2 linked regions of the Stegostoma tigrinum genome follow. The protein of the gene in region 1 binds, or shares a complex with, the protein of each later gene. Links are inferred from orthologs where the notes say so. Each region holds a gene or a part of one and is shown on either strand. Other genes may lie near its edges.

Region 1 (7,314 bases):
GAAGGTTCATCACTGTCTTCTCAAGGCGTGGGCATTAAATGGCAGCTTTGCCAGCAAAGACCACAGCAAATAACAAAGACTTCCCTCTTGAAGATCCTGACATGTGAAGACAGGTTTTATTTGCCTTGTTTACATCCTCAAAGCTCAGTCAAGAACTCATTCGTAGAGTCATGGAATTATGCAGCACAGAACAGGCTCTTTGGCCCGTTGGGTCTGCACCACCAAAAAGACACTACTACCTACACTAGTCTCGCTTACAAATGTAAAACCCATACCCTTGAATGTTATGCCAGATCAAGTGTTCATTCAAATACTTTTTAAAGATTGTGAGGTTTTCCACCTCAAAGAGCCTGCCGGCAGTGTATTCCAGATTCTCACCACCCTCTGGGTGAGATAGATTTTCCTCAAATCCGCTCTTGAAACCTCCTGCCTTGCACATTAAAATGAAGCTCTTGTCATTGATCCTTCGACTAAGGAGAACATCTGCTGTCTAGTCCCCTGACCATGCCCCCATAACCCTATAGTTCTCTAACAGGTTCCCCATCAATATCTTTTGTTCCAAAAAAAGCAATCCAGCCTTTCTCCAAAGCTGAATTGTTCCATCCTAGTGTATCTACTTCACTACTCCAGCTACGGCCTGGCTAAAGTCCTATACAGTGATAATGGGAACTGCAGATGCTGGAGAATCCAAGATAATAAAATGTGAGGCTGGATGAACACAGCAGGCCAAGCAGCATCTCAGGAGCACAAAAGCTGACGTTTCGGGCCTAGACCCTTCATCAGAGAGGGGGATGGGGAGAGGGTTCTGGAATAAATAGGGAAAGAGGGGGAGGCGGACCGAAGATGGAGAGAAAAGAAGACAGGTAGAGAGGACAGTATAGGTGGGGAGGTAGGGAGGGGATAGGTCAGTCCAGGGAAGACGGACAGGTCAAGGAGGTGGGATGAGGTTAGTAGGTAGGAAATGGAGGTGCGGCTTGGGGTGGGAGGAAGGGATGGGTGAGAGGAAGAACAAGTTAGGGAGGCAGAGACAGGCTAGACTGATTTTGGGGTGCAGTGGGTGGAGGGGACGAGCTGGGCTGGTTGTGTGGTGCAGTGGGGGGATGGGACGAATTGGGCTGGTTTTGGGATGCGGTGGGGGAAGGGGAGATTTTGAAGCTGGTGAAGTCCACATTGATACCATTGGGCTGCAGGGTTCCCTAGCGGAATATGAGTTGCTGTTCCTGCAACCTTCGGGTGGCATCATTGTGGCACTGCAAGAGGCCCATGATGGACACGTCATCTAAAGAATGGGAGGGGGAGTGGAAATGGTTCGTGACTGGGAGGTGCAGTTGTTTATTGCGAACTGAGCGGAGGTGTTCTGCAAAGCGGTCCCCAAGCCTCCGCTTGGTTTCCCCAATGTAGAGGAAGCCACACCGGGTACAATGGATACAGTATACCACATGGGCAGATGTGCAGGTGAACCTCTGCTTAATGTGTAAAGTCATCTTGGGGCCTGGGATAGGGGTGAGGGAGGAGGTGTGGGGGCAAGTGTAGCATTTCCTGCGGTTGCAGGGGAAGGTGCCGGGTGTGGTGGGGTTGGAGGACAGTGTGGAGCGAACAAGGGAGTCACGGAGAGAGTGGTCTCTCCGGAAATATACAACTGCACCTCCCAGTCGCGAACCATTTCCACACGCCCTCCCATTCTCTAGATGACATGTCCATCATGGGCCTCCTGCAGTGCCACAATGATGCTACCCAAAGGTTGCACCGAACAGCAACTCATATTCTGCTTGGGAACCCTGCAGCCCAATGGTATCAATGTGGACTTCACCAGCTTCAAAATCTCCCCTTCCCCCACCGCATTCCAAAACCAGCCCGCTCGTCCCCTCCCCCCACTGCACCACACAACCAGCCCAGCTCTTCCCCTCCACCCACTGCATCCCAAAACCAGTCCAGCCTGTCTCTGCCTCCCTCACCTGTTCTTCCTCTCACCCATCCCTTCCTCCCACCCCAAGTCGCACCTCCATCTCCTACCTACTAACCTCATCCCACCTCCTTCACCTGTCCGTCTTCCCTGGACTGACCTATCCCCTCACTACCTACCCATCTATACTCTCCTCTCCACCTATCTTCTTTTCTCTCCATCTTCGGTCCGCCTCCCCCTCTCTCCCTATTTATTCCAGAACCCTCACCCCATCCCCCTCTCTGATGAAGGGTCGAGGCCTGAAACGTCAGCTTTTGTGCTCCTGAGATGCTGCTGGGCCTGCTGTGTTCATCCAGCCTCACATTTTATTATCTTAAAGTCCTATACGGCTCCTACATAACCTCCCTGCTCTGTTATCATCTTACATTTTCACCAATTCCTATGCTGGGATGTGGACGCTACAGTGCTTGATTAGGTATTAGGTTGCTCGTCATGTGATGTTACCGCTGTGCTCCCATCTCCTGTCCTCAGCTGCCCTGTGGTGTGTAGCTGTATCATCCACAAGATGGATGTATAGCCGAGGTAGGACCTCAGCAAGTATACGCTTTCCAGCAAGCATAGGTAGAGAGTGACCAAAGCGGGAGGCTCTGACTGATCTTGTCCTGCCAACGATAGAGATATCGAGGCCGAATGTACCCACTTCCTTCTGCTGCTACCTTAACTGGGAACAGTAAGCTCAGCTTTCGACTATGCAGGAATCTTTGTTTTCTCGGTGTGACACGGTCCGAACCACTTCGGCAAACAGTCACCCATCCCAAACCCTGGGAGCAGCTCGAGGAACTGTATTCCAACAAGATTCCGCCATGTCCAAATGTCTGACATAATAATTTGCCCGTTTCCATAGCAGTATGATCGGCAAGAGTGCTAGGGAAGATCTGGGAGAAAATGCCGGAGGCATTTGTGTGGTTTTAAATAAAAAGATGTGAAAAAATATGCGTTTTGGACATTTGATGACAAGAAATGATTGACAAGGTGTGAAATTAACAAATGTCCACTAAATATGGCCCGAGGCAATGACAACTTTCTGCGCTGAGAATGAACAGTTCGCCAATCAAGGATGGTCAATGGCATTTGTAGCGCACTTTTCCCACCTTCAGACAACATACATCCAAACATGGTTCATGGAAGACAGTCTGACAATGAGCACGACTGAGAGGGACCACCATAATGACTGTGAGCCACATGCGTGCCTGAGACGCCCATGATTCAGATTATCTGGCGCTGAAGCCGTGCGCCTCCTGTTGGCCGGTACGGAAAGTTCTGCCGCGTTTGGGAGATGGTTCCCTTATCCCCACATCAACAAGCTCGGATATGTGGGCGCGGCATCTGGCCAGGTTCGCATGTTGGGGAATGTGAAATCGTTTGAAATTATTTTACAGCCACATTTTATTGTTGTCGACAAAATTGCTCCTCAGGTAGGTATGTAAGCCCGGAGTTTCACGAAGAGGGATGGGACTGCCACTTGTTGCTGCAGCCGGTTCGCCTTCCCAGCTGGGTGAATGAAGTTTTGTTTTTAGAAATGTCTGTTCTTTTCGCCCCATCCCTTCAGCTGGAAGAGTTTCGTCTCCCTGAGTCCGGGCAGGTAAAACAGTTCCGTCCGAACCAATGACAGGCTGCCAGCCAGAGCAAATGCTTCAGAGATTTTGCTCCAAACAAATTCAGTTTCAGTGTATACGGTAAAATTGTTATGCGCATCAAATGAGGGCGTTTCTGAAGCGTGCACACAGCATTTGCACTGGAATTCTGTGTTTGAATGTGCACAGAATTAGTGAAAAATTTGCATAGGAATTTTGTGTTTGAATGTGCACAGAATTAGTGTAAAAAGTTTGCACAAGAATTCTGTGTTTGAGTGTGCACAGCTTAGTGTGAAAATTTTGCACAGGAATTCTGTGAATGTGCAGTGTTAGTGTGAAGTTTGCACAGGAATTCAGTGTTTGAGTGTGCAGAGTATTAGTGTGAAGTTTGCACAGTGATTCAGTGCTTGAGTGTGTAGAGTATTAGTGTGAGAAGTTTGCACAGGAATTCAGTGTTTGAGTGTGCAGAGTATCAGTGAGAAGTTTGCACAGTGATTCAGTGCTTGAGTGTGCAGAGTATTAGTGTGAGAAGTTTGCACACTATTATTGTGTGCGTGTGAAGCGTGTTTGCTGATGGTGTGTATATGGTGTTCACGAGACACATAATACAATAACGTTTTGTTTTTTACAGCTGCATATAACAGGGAATTGCAAGTCATGCAGTCAAATCATTTGGCAGACCTCCCTCCGTAGACTGCCTTAAGAAAAACAGCCCGAGTCTGCCGACCTTTTCAGTGTAGTGTATTTCTCCCTGAAAGTGTTGATCACCTGGAGCAGTTGCGCGGCGCTGAGCAAGCGTGTGTTTGTTTGTGTCTGTGGAGAGGAGTCCGCAGGCGCTTCGCCCTTTACTCATTGACCAAATCATTAGTATTTTTGAAAAAGAGTTTGTTCGCCTGCCGGAGCATGGGCGTTCCTTTCTCTCTCTGTTTGCTGGCTGGCCTGTCACAGAAATGCCGCTGAAGGAACCGTAGCGTCTGACTTCTATTTCGCAATTGAGTTGGGCCAGGAGAGGCGCTTTGAGTTTTCAGTGACTTGGCGTGGCTTGGAGCTGATCTCCCAGCTCTCCGTGTCTTTCTGTATCTCTCTCCCACCCTGTATCCCTTTGTAGATCTGCTGTATTATACTGACAGCCAATCTTCCTCTCCCTTTGTGAATACATTAATAGAGGTGTCTCAGGCGGTGGACTGTGAGACTGTGGGGAAGGAGTGTGGACAAGTCTGGCTGGTCTTATTTCTCCCTTTAGCGGTGCTAAGTACCCAGTCTTGCATCATTTATAATTAGATAAGCATGTGAACGCTTCTTTTTCCTGCCTCGAACTAGTTTCAGATCTTTGTGGATTTGACATTTTTAATTGTTTTAAGAATATTTCCTAGACAGTTTTTATTTCTGTCTCCCAGCTGGCTGCTTCTCCTATCTGCTCAGCAGTGAGGAGTCTCCCTCTGTGTGTGTGTGTGTGTGTGTGTTAGGGAAGGAAGGGGGGGGGGGTTGTCTGTGCAAAGCTTTTATTGGCTCGGGATTTTTTTAGGAAATGGCAACGCCAGACATTGCAACAGGAACCGTGTATCCGCAAGCGGCGAGAGGAAGCTAAAGGATGAGGTTGCAGATCGCCCAGATTCTCCCAAAGTAACCAATTCAACTCAAGTGCGCCCTTCGTTGTTGTTATCGCTTCTCGGCTTTCCTCCCTCTCTCTCTCTCTCTCCCTGTCGCTGTGTGTGCGCGCTGTTTTCGTTCGCAATCTCCAGTTGCCAAATGGGGAAGCATCAACTCTCCCTCTACCTACTGGCCGTGGCCATCGGTGTGTCCGGGGCGGTCCGAAACGGTGAGTATTAACGGCGCCGCTTTTTCCCTGTCGTTTCGGCCCCCTGAGCCCCGATACCACAACCACTAAAGGGAGGACAGACCAGCAAATGGGTAGGGTCTCTGTCCACTCGGCAGGGCGCACGCAGTATAGCGTACACTGCGAGGATCTGGAGGGGCTCGCTTCTCCTCGTTTCGTTTTACAACAGGCTGCTGAAGTCTCCCCACACAGGGAGAGGGGGCGGCGGGGGGACTGTGTGGAGGCAAGTGGCATTTTGCAGGTTTATCCGGAGACGCCAGAACCTGAAGGTACCCTCAGCCTGGCGACGCTGCCCAGTCGAAGGCAGGAGCCTGGACTAGGGGCAAAGAATGACTTTCTGAGACCTGTTGTGACTTTCTCAGACACTGCCCCTTCCCAGGGAGAGCGACGCGGACAGTGAGCACGCCGTCAGTGTCCTCTCCCTCATCCCGAGTTAAGAGGGGAGCTCACTGAGATCTTTCGGTCTGCTTTCCCCAGCGCCTGGCACACTGGGCTCCCGTCCATGTGACTCCCTCCCCAGGAGCACGCCTCACGCTGCCACCAGTTGCCGGGAAAGCGGTTTCTTTTCGGGCAGGGCCCAGGCGAGCGATGGCCAAACGAAAACCAGAACAACGTGTAACAAAACAAAAGCAAAACCTCCAGAAAAGTGTTGGAGACGACTGACTGCTGTGTGCTGCACTGAGCTGCAAAAGGGGGTGAACATTTCATTTCTGGCTCCCTGCGTTCCTCCAGCACTTCCTGTTCTGAGACTCGGCATGTTAAGGCTATTTTTAAGACGAGATAAACGCGAACTCTCCCTGCAGTGATCAGGAGAGGTTAGGATTTGAGCACTAATGTTTGTCCAGAAAATAAGAATGAGCTTTTGGGGGAATTTCTGGAGCTGCTTTGTGTATGTGTGTGTCGCTGAATAAAGCTGTGAGGGGTCAGATCTTATATCCAGCTCTTACACTCCGGCGCCTCTTCAGCTTGAATCTTGGCTGAACTGACAGCCGTGAGCTAGATGAGGAAGACACCCCGGCTCCTTCTTATCTGCACAGACACGCTGAACCAGGTCACGAAGCGGTTCTTTCACACACACACACACACACACACAGCCTGCTGGCCGCAGCAATAAACGAGCAAAGCGGATCTCCCCGTCCCCCTCCCGGCGCTTCCCCAGCCGCTTTGCGCCTCCTTCCCGCTCTCTCCCGCAGCCCGGCGTAGCCCGGCCACAAGCCTCAGTCCTTTCTCAGTCAAACGGGAGGGGGTCAGTGTGGAGATGGGAGGGAGCAGGACAGGTAGCCAGCTACAGCGGGCTGGAGTTGAAGTGATGCCACGACATGACTAACCCGGTGTTGTTCAGAACAAACTTTGACTGCGGAATGTTTAGCGCCGTGCACGGGATGTTGCGAATGTTAAAACCACAGTCTTTCGGTCCCTTTTCCAAGTGGGAGAACTCTCCAAACAGAACGCTGACCAATCTGTGCACTGTTCCTCCATGCCGGAGGAATTTCATGTCCACTTCTCCCGGGCCAGCTCTCTGTTCCTTTAGTGAATCCCCTCTACACCCACCTTGAGATTGAAGACGAGTGAGAAGAGGGTGGAATCTCCCATTGTCCGACTCCCACCAATCGATGTGTATGTGTGGGCTGTGTTTGTGTGTGGGTGAGTGTGTCACCATGTGTGAGCGTGGTGTGTATATGTTTATGTAGGTGTGTGTATGTATGGCTGTAGGTTGGGTTTGTGTCTGTCCGCGTCTGTGTGCCTATATGTGTGTGTGTGTCTGTGTGCGCATGTGTATATATCTGTGGATGTGTATGGGTATGTGTGTGTCTATCAGTCTGTGTGGGTCTGTGTTTATGTGTATGTATGTCAGTGTGGGTGTGTGTATGTGTGCATGTGTGTATCTATCTGTGTATGGGTATGTGTGTGTCTATCAATGTCTATCAGTGGGTCTGTGT
Region 2 (7,143 bases), on another chromosome or scaffold:
GACTAGAATGAGAAAGTAATGTGGCACCATGTTGAGTTAAACGCTCATTGTGTCATAGGTCCATTTTGTCAGCAGCACCATCTCAGAGAGGATAATAAATTAGTTTAATTCTGTGGCACAGCAGAGATAAAAAGAACCGTGAATCTTGAAAATCTGAACTGCAAACAGAAAATGCTGGAAATGTACACACGCTTGTCAGAACTGGAAATGTAAAAGACAAATTAACACCTCAACATCACTTTCCAACCTTCTCATGCTATCCTTCAATCCCAACTCGCTCTCAAAATGCAACCCCCTTTTAATGGGGCACACACAACAAAAACCCAAAAGATACAAAAGAAATAAATCAAACCAAATTATTATTACAAAATAAAAATACTGTGGAACCTGGAAATCTGAATTAAAAACAGAAAGTGCTAGGCAATTGCAGCAGAAATAGTGGCATCTGTGGAGAGAGAAGTAAATTTCAAGTCTAATATGACCTAACTTCAAAGTGTTATATTATTAATCCATGTCAACTGTGTCTTCCAGTTCAGAACACAGTTGACTCTTAACCAACTCGGGACTTTCCCCCGGTAATGTTTTCCACGTGTTTTCTTTGTTCATTCATTGGTCGTGGGTGTCGCTGGCTGTAGGGAGACCCATGATGCCCTTTGGGAGGGAATTTCAGGATTTTGACCCAGATATTTTGAAGGAACGGCAATATATTTCCAAGTCAGAATGATGTGTGGCTTGGAGGGGAACTTGCATATGGTGCTGTTCCCATGTATCTGCTGTCCTTGCCCTTCTAGGTGGAAATAGACCCGGATTTGGATTTGGATTTGGGATGAAGGGTCTAGGCCCAAAACGTCAGCTTTTGTGCTCCTGAGATGCTGTTTGGCCTGCTGTGTTCAGCCAGCTCCACACTTTGTTATCTTGGATTCTCCAGCATCTGCAGTTCCTATTACCTCTGATCACAATTTTAACCTCACTGCGAAGCCTCTTCCAGGGATGCCTAACCTGAAGAAGTTACCATCCTCCGTCCGGACCAACCTCAGGGAATCTCTCTCCCACTGCAACTCTCTTGTAATCTCTTCGGCCTTGAAACTGCTAGAACCGGGTAAAAAAGGATGAAGGGTCTTGGCCTGAAACATCAGCTTCTGTGCTCCTGAGATGCTGCTTGGCCTGCTGTGTTCATCCAGCTTCACACTTTGTTATCTTGGATTCTCCAGCATCTGCAGTTCCCATCATCTCTGGATTTGGAAAGTGCTGTCTAAGGATCTTTGGTCAATTTCTTCCAGTGCATCTTGTAGATGGTACATGCTGCTAATACTGATGTTGGTGGTAGAGGGAGTGGATGATTGTGGTTATGATGCTAATCAAGCAGACTGCTGTGTTCTTGATAGTGTGAAACTTCTTGAGTGTTTTTGGAGCTGCACTCATCCAGGCAAGTAGGGAATATTTCATCACACTCTTGATTTCTGCCTTATAAGTTGGTGATCAGGTTTTGGGAAAGTCAGGAGGTGAGTTACTCACTGCAGCATTTTTAGCCTCTGACCTGCTCTTGTAGCTTGATAAAGTGTGGAGCCGGAGAAACAGAGCAGGTCAGACAGCATTGGAGGAGCAGGAAAGTCAACGTTTCGGATCTGGATTTTTATTCAGGCCGGATGGACTTGTAGCTGCTGCGTTTATGAGGCAAGTCCAGCTGAGTTTCTGTTCAATGATAACCTCTGTGATTTTGGTAGTGGGGAATTCAGTGATGACAGCACTACAGAATGTCAAGGGGTAGTGATTAGATTGTGTCCTGTTGGAAATGGTCATAGCCTGGCATTTGTGAGGCGCAAACGTTACTTGCCACTCGTCAGCTCGCGCCTGGATATCGGAACAAAAACAAATTGCTGGTGAGACTCAGCAGATCATGGAATCAAGCCTGGATATTATCCAGATCTCCAGGGACCTTTGGAGGGAACAACTGTTCATTCCCGACGTGGAAAATGAATACTTGACTGAATGCCGGGATACAAGCGTGAAGTTTGGCTGATGCAGATTCCAACAACCCGTTCAATTCATTCTGTCACAATGGCGAATCTAGTGCAGTTCTACCACGCTCGCCGAGTGTCCTGTGTTGGGAAATATTTGTCTTTCCGTTCTGTGAACGCTTACAGACGTCTGCAGGGATAAAGCGAGTTCGAGTTGCACGCTCGCATTTGATACTCTAACGTTTTGTGTTGCTGCGCCTCTTTGAAAAGTGACGCTGTCGTTTTATTCAAGATTTTCATTGGCCTCATAGTGCACAGGTGTCAATTAAACACGAGGAGCGGATCAAATATCATTCCCCAACATGTGTTATGTGTCCGCTTTACCCTGCGCCGTGATGTTTTGCTGGTTCAACTCTATTAGACCCTTCCCTGCCTGGTGCAAGGGCAGGATGTCAGGAATGACTACGTTGGCTGTGAGGGTTGGCCGCTATCTTCAGCAGGGCTGGAGAGCTGGACCCTTTTTTTTTATCGGTCGAGCCATTTCTGTGTTAGCCTTTCCCCAGTGTCGACAGGTCGCTCGGAAGTGACAGACACGAATGAGTGAATTTCCCTTGGCCCCCTCCAAAGGAGCACCCTTTTCTGCTGAGGTTGCAAGCTACATATTGCCTCTAGGTGTCGTTGCAATGCAGGAATTCAGCGAGACAGCCTTTACCCCTCTCACAAACAGACACAGTCTGTCGCGTTCTTCCATACAAACGCTGCATTATCTCCAATGCAATCGCTGCGTTTCCTCACACGTGTTTTTCCGCAACGCATTTTTTTTCCGGGGGAGTTCCTTAAAACATGTTGGCAGGGAGCGAACGTGGAATTTAGCGATGGAAGAAACGCTGTTTTAAAGTTTGGGGAGTCTCAGAAGGTTGACACGCGCGCAAGTTGTTCCAAGTGCCCAAGACGCCCGTCTCTTTCTCCCAATGTGTAGGGCTGTCTTAAGTTGAGAGCTCAAACGGTTTGGTGACCGTGCAAGGACAGCGGAACCGGCGGTGTTGGAGATCAACACTGAATCACTGGGACTGGGCGTCTCTCAGCCCTGAAAACAGGGACTTTCCCCCTCCTTCTAACTGTATCTTCAAGTGTGCCAGTACCCATTAATATTGAGATATGTAGTCTGTGATTTATCAGCATCAATCAGTAATTTGACTCACATATTTAATACTCTAAAGGCTTTTTCTCTTGCATGGAGAGACGGGCATTGGGACAGTTCCAAACGGCCAGCATAGCACAATGGGCCGAATGTCTTCCTTTGGTTCTGTCTCAATCCATGGCTTTATTCTTCCTGGAAGAAGGGTTAACTTCCCAGAAAAAAATCGAACGTAATAGCATGCCTTGAGGATCTCGTTGTTGATTCTTTAAAGAGATAGTCATGATGGCCTCATAAAGCCCTAGGTCTTTACAGCTCCTTCGGCCCATCGTGCAGTGATGGGTGATTTTCTCTCACGGGAAACGGGATTAAGAGTGAGTGGTCCAGAAAGTTTATTTCGAAAAAAATCGATGTAGGAAGTCGCCGGATCTTAAAGCCCACAGTCTCGGGTCATTCGTTGTTAAACAAAGAATTGCGAGCGCTATGATGTGCAAATGCTAGTCACTGGGTAATTCATAATTGCAGATACTATTTCTGAAAAAAATCACCTTTTTTTCCACTGTGAAGCAGAGTTGGAAATAGCACAATTAGCAGAATAGCTAGTGGGAACGGTACGTCACTGTCGTGTGACAACAGCATTGATAGACTGAAAGTAGGTAAACACTACTTGCTCACTGCGCCCTTGGCAGTGGCTAAATGCAAATAGGTTCCACACTTGTACACTGGGCTTTTACATATTCTACACAAAGTTGGAGTCTGCAATTGATTCCCAGCTGTCCCCACCCCCCCGCCCATCTTCGGTGCATGACCCTGAGCCAGCAACACCAGTCCAAAGACGGTCCGCTCCCTACGTTACACTGGCATTGCTGTTGCTGCCGCTGTTCCAGCTACTGGAAGGCAGGCAGACGGAGCAGTGGGTACGGGAGGGGGGGCGGGTTTGGGGGTGGTTTGAAGGGCGAAACCGCTACCTGGCCAGAGACCCTGGGGGAAGCCTCGATTACACTCTCTCCTCTCCCCCACCTCTTCCAAAATGCACTGAAGTGTTCAAGTGTTAGAATGGTACTGCCGAGTGGATCACTGAGGAGGCTACAAGAGAGCTGATGACACTCTCCCTTCGTTTCCTGCCTTCACTCGGACCTGCTTTAAGTAGGCGAAGACCAAAAAGAAAAGGTTTTTCTCAATGTTTCTGTTATGGGGGTGTGGGGGAAGCGGAATATTTCTGAAGTGTTGCCCTGCATTCAGTAGCGATGTCTCAGCGGCTTGGCAGTGTGTGTGTGTGTGTGTGTGTGTGTGTGTGTGTGTGTGTGTCACTGCGGCGGTCTGCGAAAGCAAACCAGGCAGCCAGCGCAGAGTGAACTGTTACAGCCCTGTAACAGGAAGTTTGGCTTCTCCAATAGTGTCGGCTTCAAGCTCATTTGCAACTAATGGAATAATAATATTAAACAACCCACACCCCGTCAGTTCTGAAACAAAACACACACACACACCGAAAATGTAACGCGGTCGGATTCACCGAGATGTGAGCAATGCAGACGGTAGTCTCTTGGTAAGGTATATTTGGTTCCTCCTGCCCGCCCCCTTCAATCTTGCTGTTACAGAGGTATTTGTTGTGAGGAATGAGGTATTTGTGTGGTGTCAGCCGTTTGTTGCGAGTACCTTTCTGCAGGTGGCATTGTGGGCTCAGTGTGCTTTCCCTCTCTCTCTCTCTCTCTGCCATCCACAAATACACTCTCAGCTTCCCACTGCAGGAGATTGGCTACTGACTGTCACATACTTCCCCCGATATTTAAGAGCCGCGACGTATGTGTGTGTGTGCATGTGCATGGGGGCTACGGCAGGCTTCCTGAAGCGACAGTATCCTGGCTGCAGATACCTGAGCTCCATGCCTCCGTCTATCTCCTGGATGACTGTTTTATCTCACTCTGTCTAAGATGTGGGATTTCCCCGGGTTAGTTACAGGTACAAATCTCTGACCGCCCCTCGTGCCGCAGCAGAGAGACCCTGGAGGCGGCTCAGATCAATCTTGGGGGAAGCATATTTGAGGAGGAAGGGGGGGGGGGGTAAAAATGCGGAATGGAAGCTTTCTAACCAACCCCGCCCCCCCCCCACCCCGTATCCTCCTCCCAATAAAACTAAAAAACCGCGGTTTGCAAGAGCACGGACCCTATGCGGAAAAGGATTGTAGCTATCCACGTTCCCTTTCACCTGCTCAATGTGTTTACAGCGTGTACTTACACACCCAGTGTGAGGCGGGGAGGGGGGGGGTTGTTGTTGGGGAGGGGGAGTGTTCTCCTACTCGCGGACTTGTATGTTCACCCCAGGGGCTTGCACGCTGTCTGAGGCGAGCGGCGCTGTGTTATCGGTTGTCCCTGTTCAGTTTGTGAATGCTGATGGTACAGCCCCCGCTAAGTCCCTTCCCAGACACGTTTCTGCTCACTTCAGTGGGCTCCCCGTTCACCGAACAGTTCGACTGTGGACGCCGTTACCCGGTCATTGAACACTTCCCACTTCACGTTTGTTGGAATATCGTGATTGTAACCAAGGTGGGTGATACGGGGTGAAAAGCGATTGCGGGAATAAGGCAGGTGAGTGCTATTCAATTGGACCAGTGTTGTGCTGTTAAATGGGAAAAGGGGAAACCGGGAAGAGCCTGTGAACGTGTTAATCACTGCAGAGGGAACCGTTTGCCAAGGATAGGGTGAAGAATACATGGATTTATTTAAGAATGAAGGAGCGTTAGCCAAGCATTTGTGCAATATGTCCGTCAGTATGTTTGATGTAGGGGTGGTCATTGAGATTGTGTGTGTGTGTGTGTGAGAGAGAGATGATCAGATCGATTTGTACATTCCCCTCTTCCCCTCCCTGTCTGACAATTACCTGAACTCCTTCATGAGGATCGGGCATTTTCCAGACACTCCTCGCTCCTCGTTAAAGCCAATCCGGTATTCATCCGAGTTTAGCAACGATTTTCTTTTCCTTTCTCGCGTGCTGAAGGTTAGAGCTGCATCGCGCCTCTCAGAAACCTGTGACAGCTTTCCATCCAGTGGAAGGAAGTGTAGTGGCTGTCACACGTGTAGCAGAACTCGGGCTCGGTTTCTGGGAGAAGGCAGTGTGAGCTGTTCTCTACAAAACTACCTTCATCACGATGGCCGTAAAGTAAACTCGATTCTTTGCTAGATAACATTGCAACAGAGGGTGAGGACAAATATCTGCTGTTAAACCTGTCCTATTACCGAGATGAAAGGGCAATTTTCCACGTTGAGGTAATTAGGACGATTAGTGGTAATGGGAGTATCATATACTCCAAACCCTACCTTATTTTAATACATCGCTAACTTTGCATCTTACAACTGACTTTCAGTGAACTTTTGTTTTGATAACGAGGGCAGATTCCCCTTTGATAACGCTCGGGTGATCTGTTGTGTGGTTCTCTCCTGAGGAACCAGATTTCCCCCTCGTCCATAAAGTAACGTTTGGCTGGGTGGTCAGCACACTGGATGTACGGTCGGGGTGGATGCAAACTTTGTTTAAATTTCCCTTTTTTTTAAAACAATGGTGCATTAACCACGCTCCTCTGAACTGAAAGGGGATAATTTTGTTCAAATTGTAACTGATGACACCAGTATAACTCAGTGTCCTTTGTTGCAAAGGAGATAACCTGGACCCAGAGGGATGGTCAGTGGGTGTGTTCGGGTCGGTTTGGACGGTGCTCTGTTTTGCCGTTGAGTGTGAGATTGGGGAAGGAGCGGGTACACGGTTTGAGTAAAAAGAGGAGTTTCCCACTCCCCCCCCCCCCCGCGAAGCTTTTGAAGGGATGCGGGTAATTCCAACAGTTGACTGGGAGTGTGAGGAAGTGGCATCGAGCTTTTTGTACTGATCCTGGCTGCTATCCCGAACTGACTGGAGAGGACAGCCTGCCCTTGACCTTAAATTTAGCTTTCTGCAAAGTCAGAAGTGGTTGGGAGTTTGAGAGAGCCTTACAACGATGGCCAGTGCAAGGACAAATGTTTTTGTGTTGTTTATAATCAGTGAATTCCAAAGAGTGTT

The links. Proteins that work in one complex are often made in the same cells at the same time.
Region 2: the proteins of nrp1a (region 1) and plxna4 are in contact, whole or in part, in a cryo-EM structure (PDB 7M0R), measured with the Mus musculus proteins. The link is inferred for Stegostoma tigrinum from reciprocal best matches to the Homo sapiens genes NRP1 and PLXNA4. Residues at the interface, in NP_032763.2 of Mus musculus: Arg80, Tyr84, Asp126, Tyr127, Glu128; in NP_786926.2 of Mus musculus: Glu272, Lys340, Lys343, Lys345, Leu349.

What each region holds. Positions count from the first base shown.
Region 1 is NC_081355.1:129,163,111-129,170,424, reverse strand, and holds the start of nrp1a (neuropilin-1a), read left to right. Parts: upstream 1-4,224; 5' UTR 4,225-5,286; coding exon 5,287-5,356; intron 5,357-7,314. UniProt on the Homo sapiens protein: Cell-surface receptor involved in the development of the cardiovascular system, in angiogenesis, in the formation of certain neuronal circuits and in organogenesis outside the nervous system. Mediates the chemorepulsant activity of semaphorins.
Region 2 is NC_081378.1:14,224,894-14,232,036, reverse strand, and holds the start of plxna4 (plexin-A4), read left to right. Parts: upstream 1-4,137; 5' UTR 4,138-4,266; intron 4,267-4,569; exon of another isoform or gene 4,570-4,642; intron 4,643-4,899; exon of another isoform or gene 4,900-5,055; intron 5,056-5,490; exon of another isoform or gene 5,491-5,681; intron 5,682-5,973; exon of another isoform or gene 5,974-6,291; intron 6,292-7,143. UniProt on the Homo sapiens protein: Coreceptor for SEMA3A. Necessary for signaling by class 3 semaphorins and subsequent remodeling of the cytoskeleton. Plays a role in axon guidance in the developing nervous system. Class 3 semaphorins bind to a complex composed of a neuropilin and a plexin.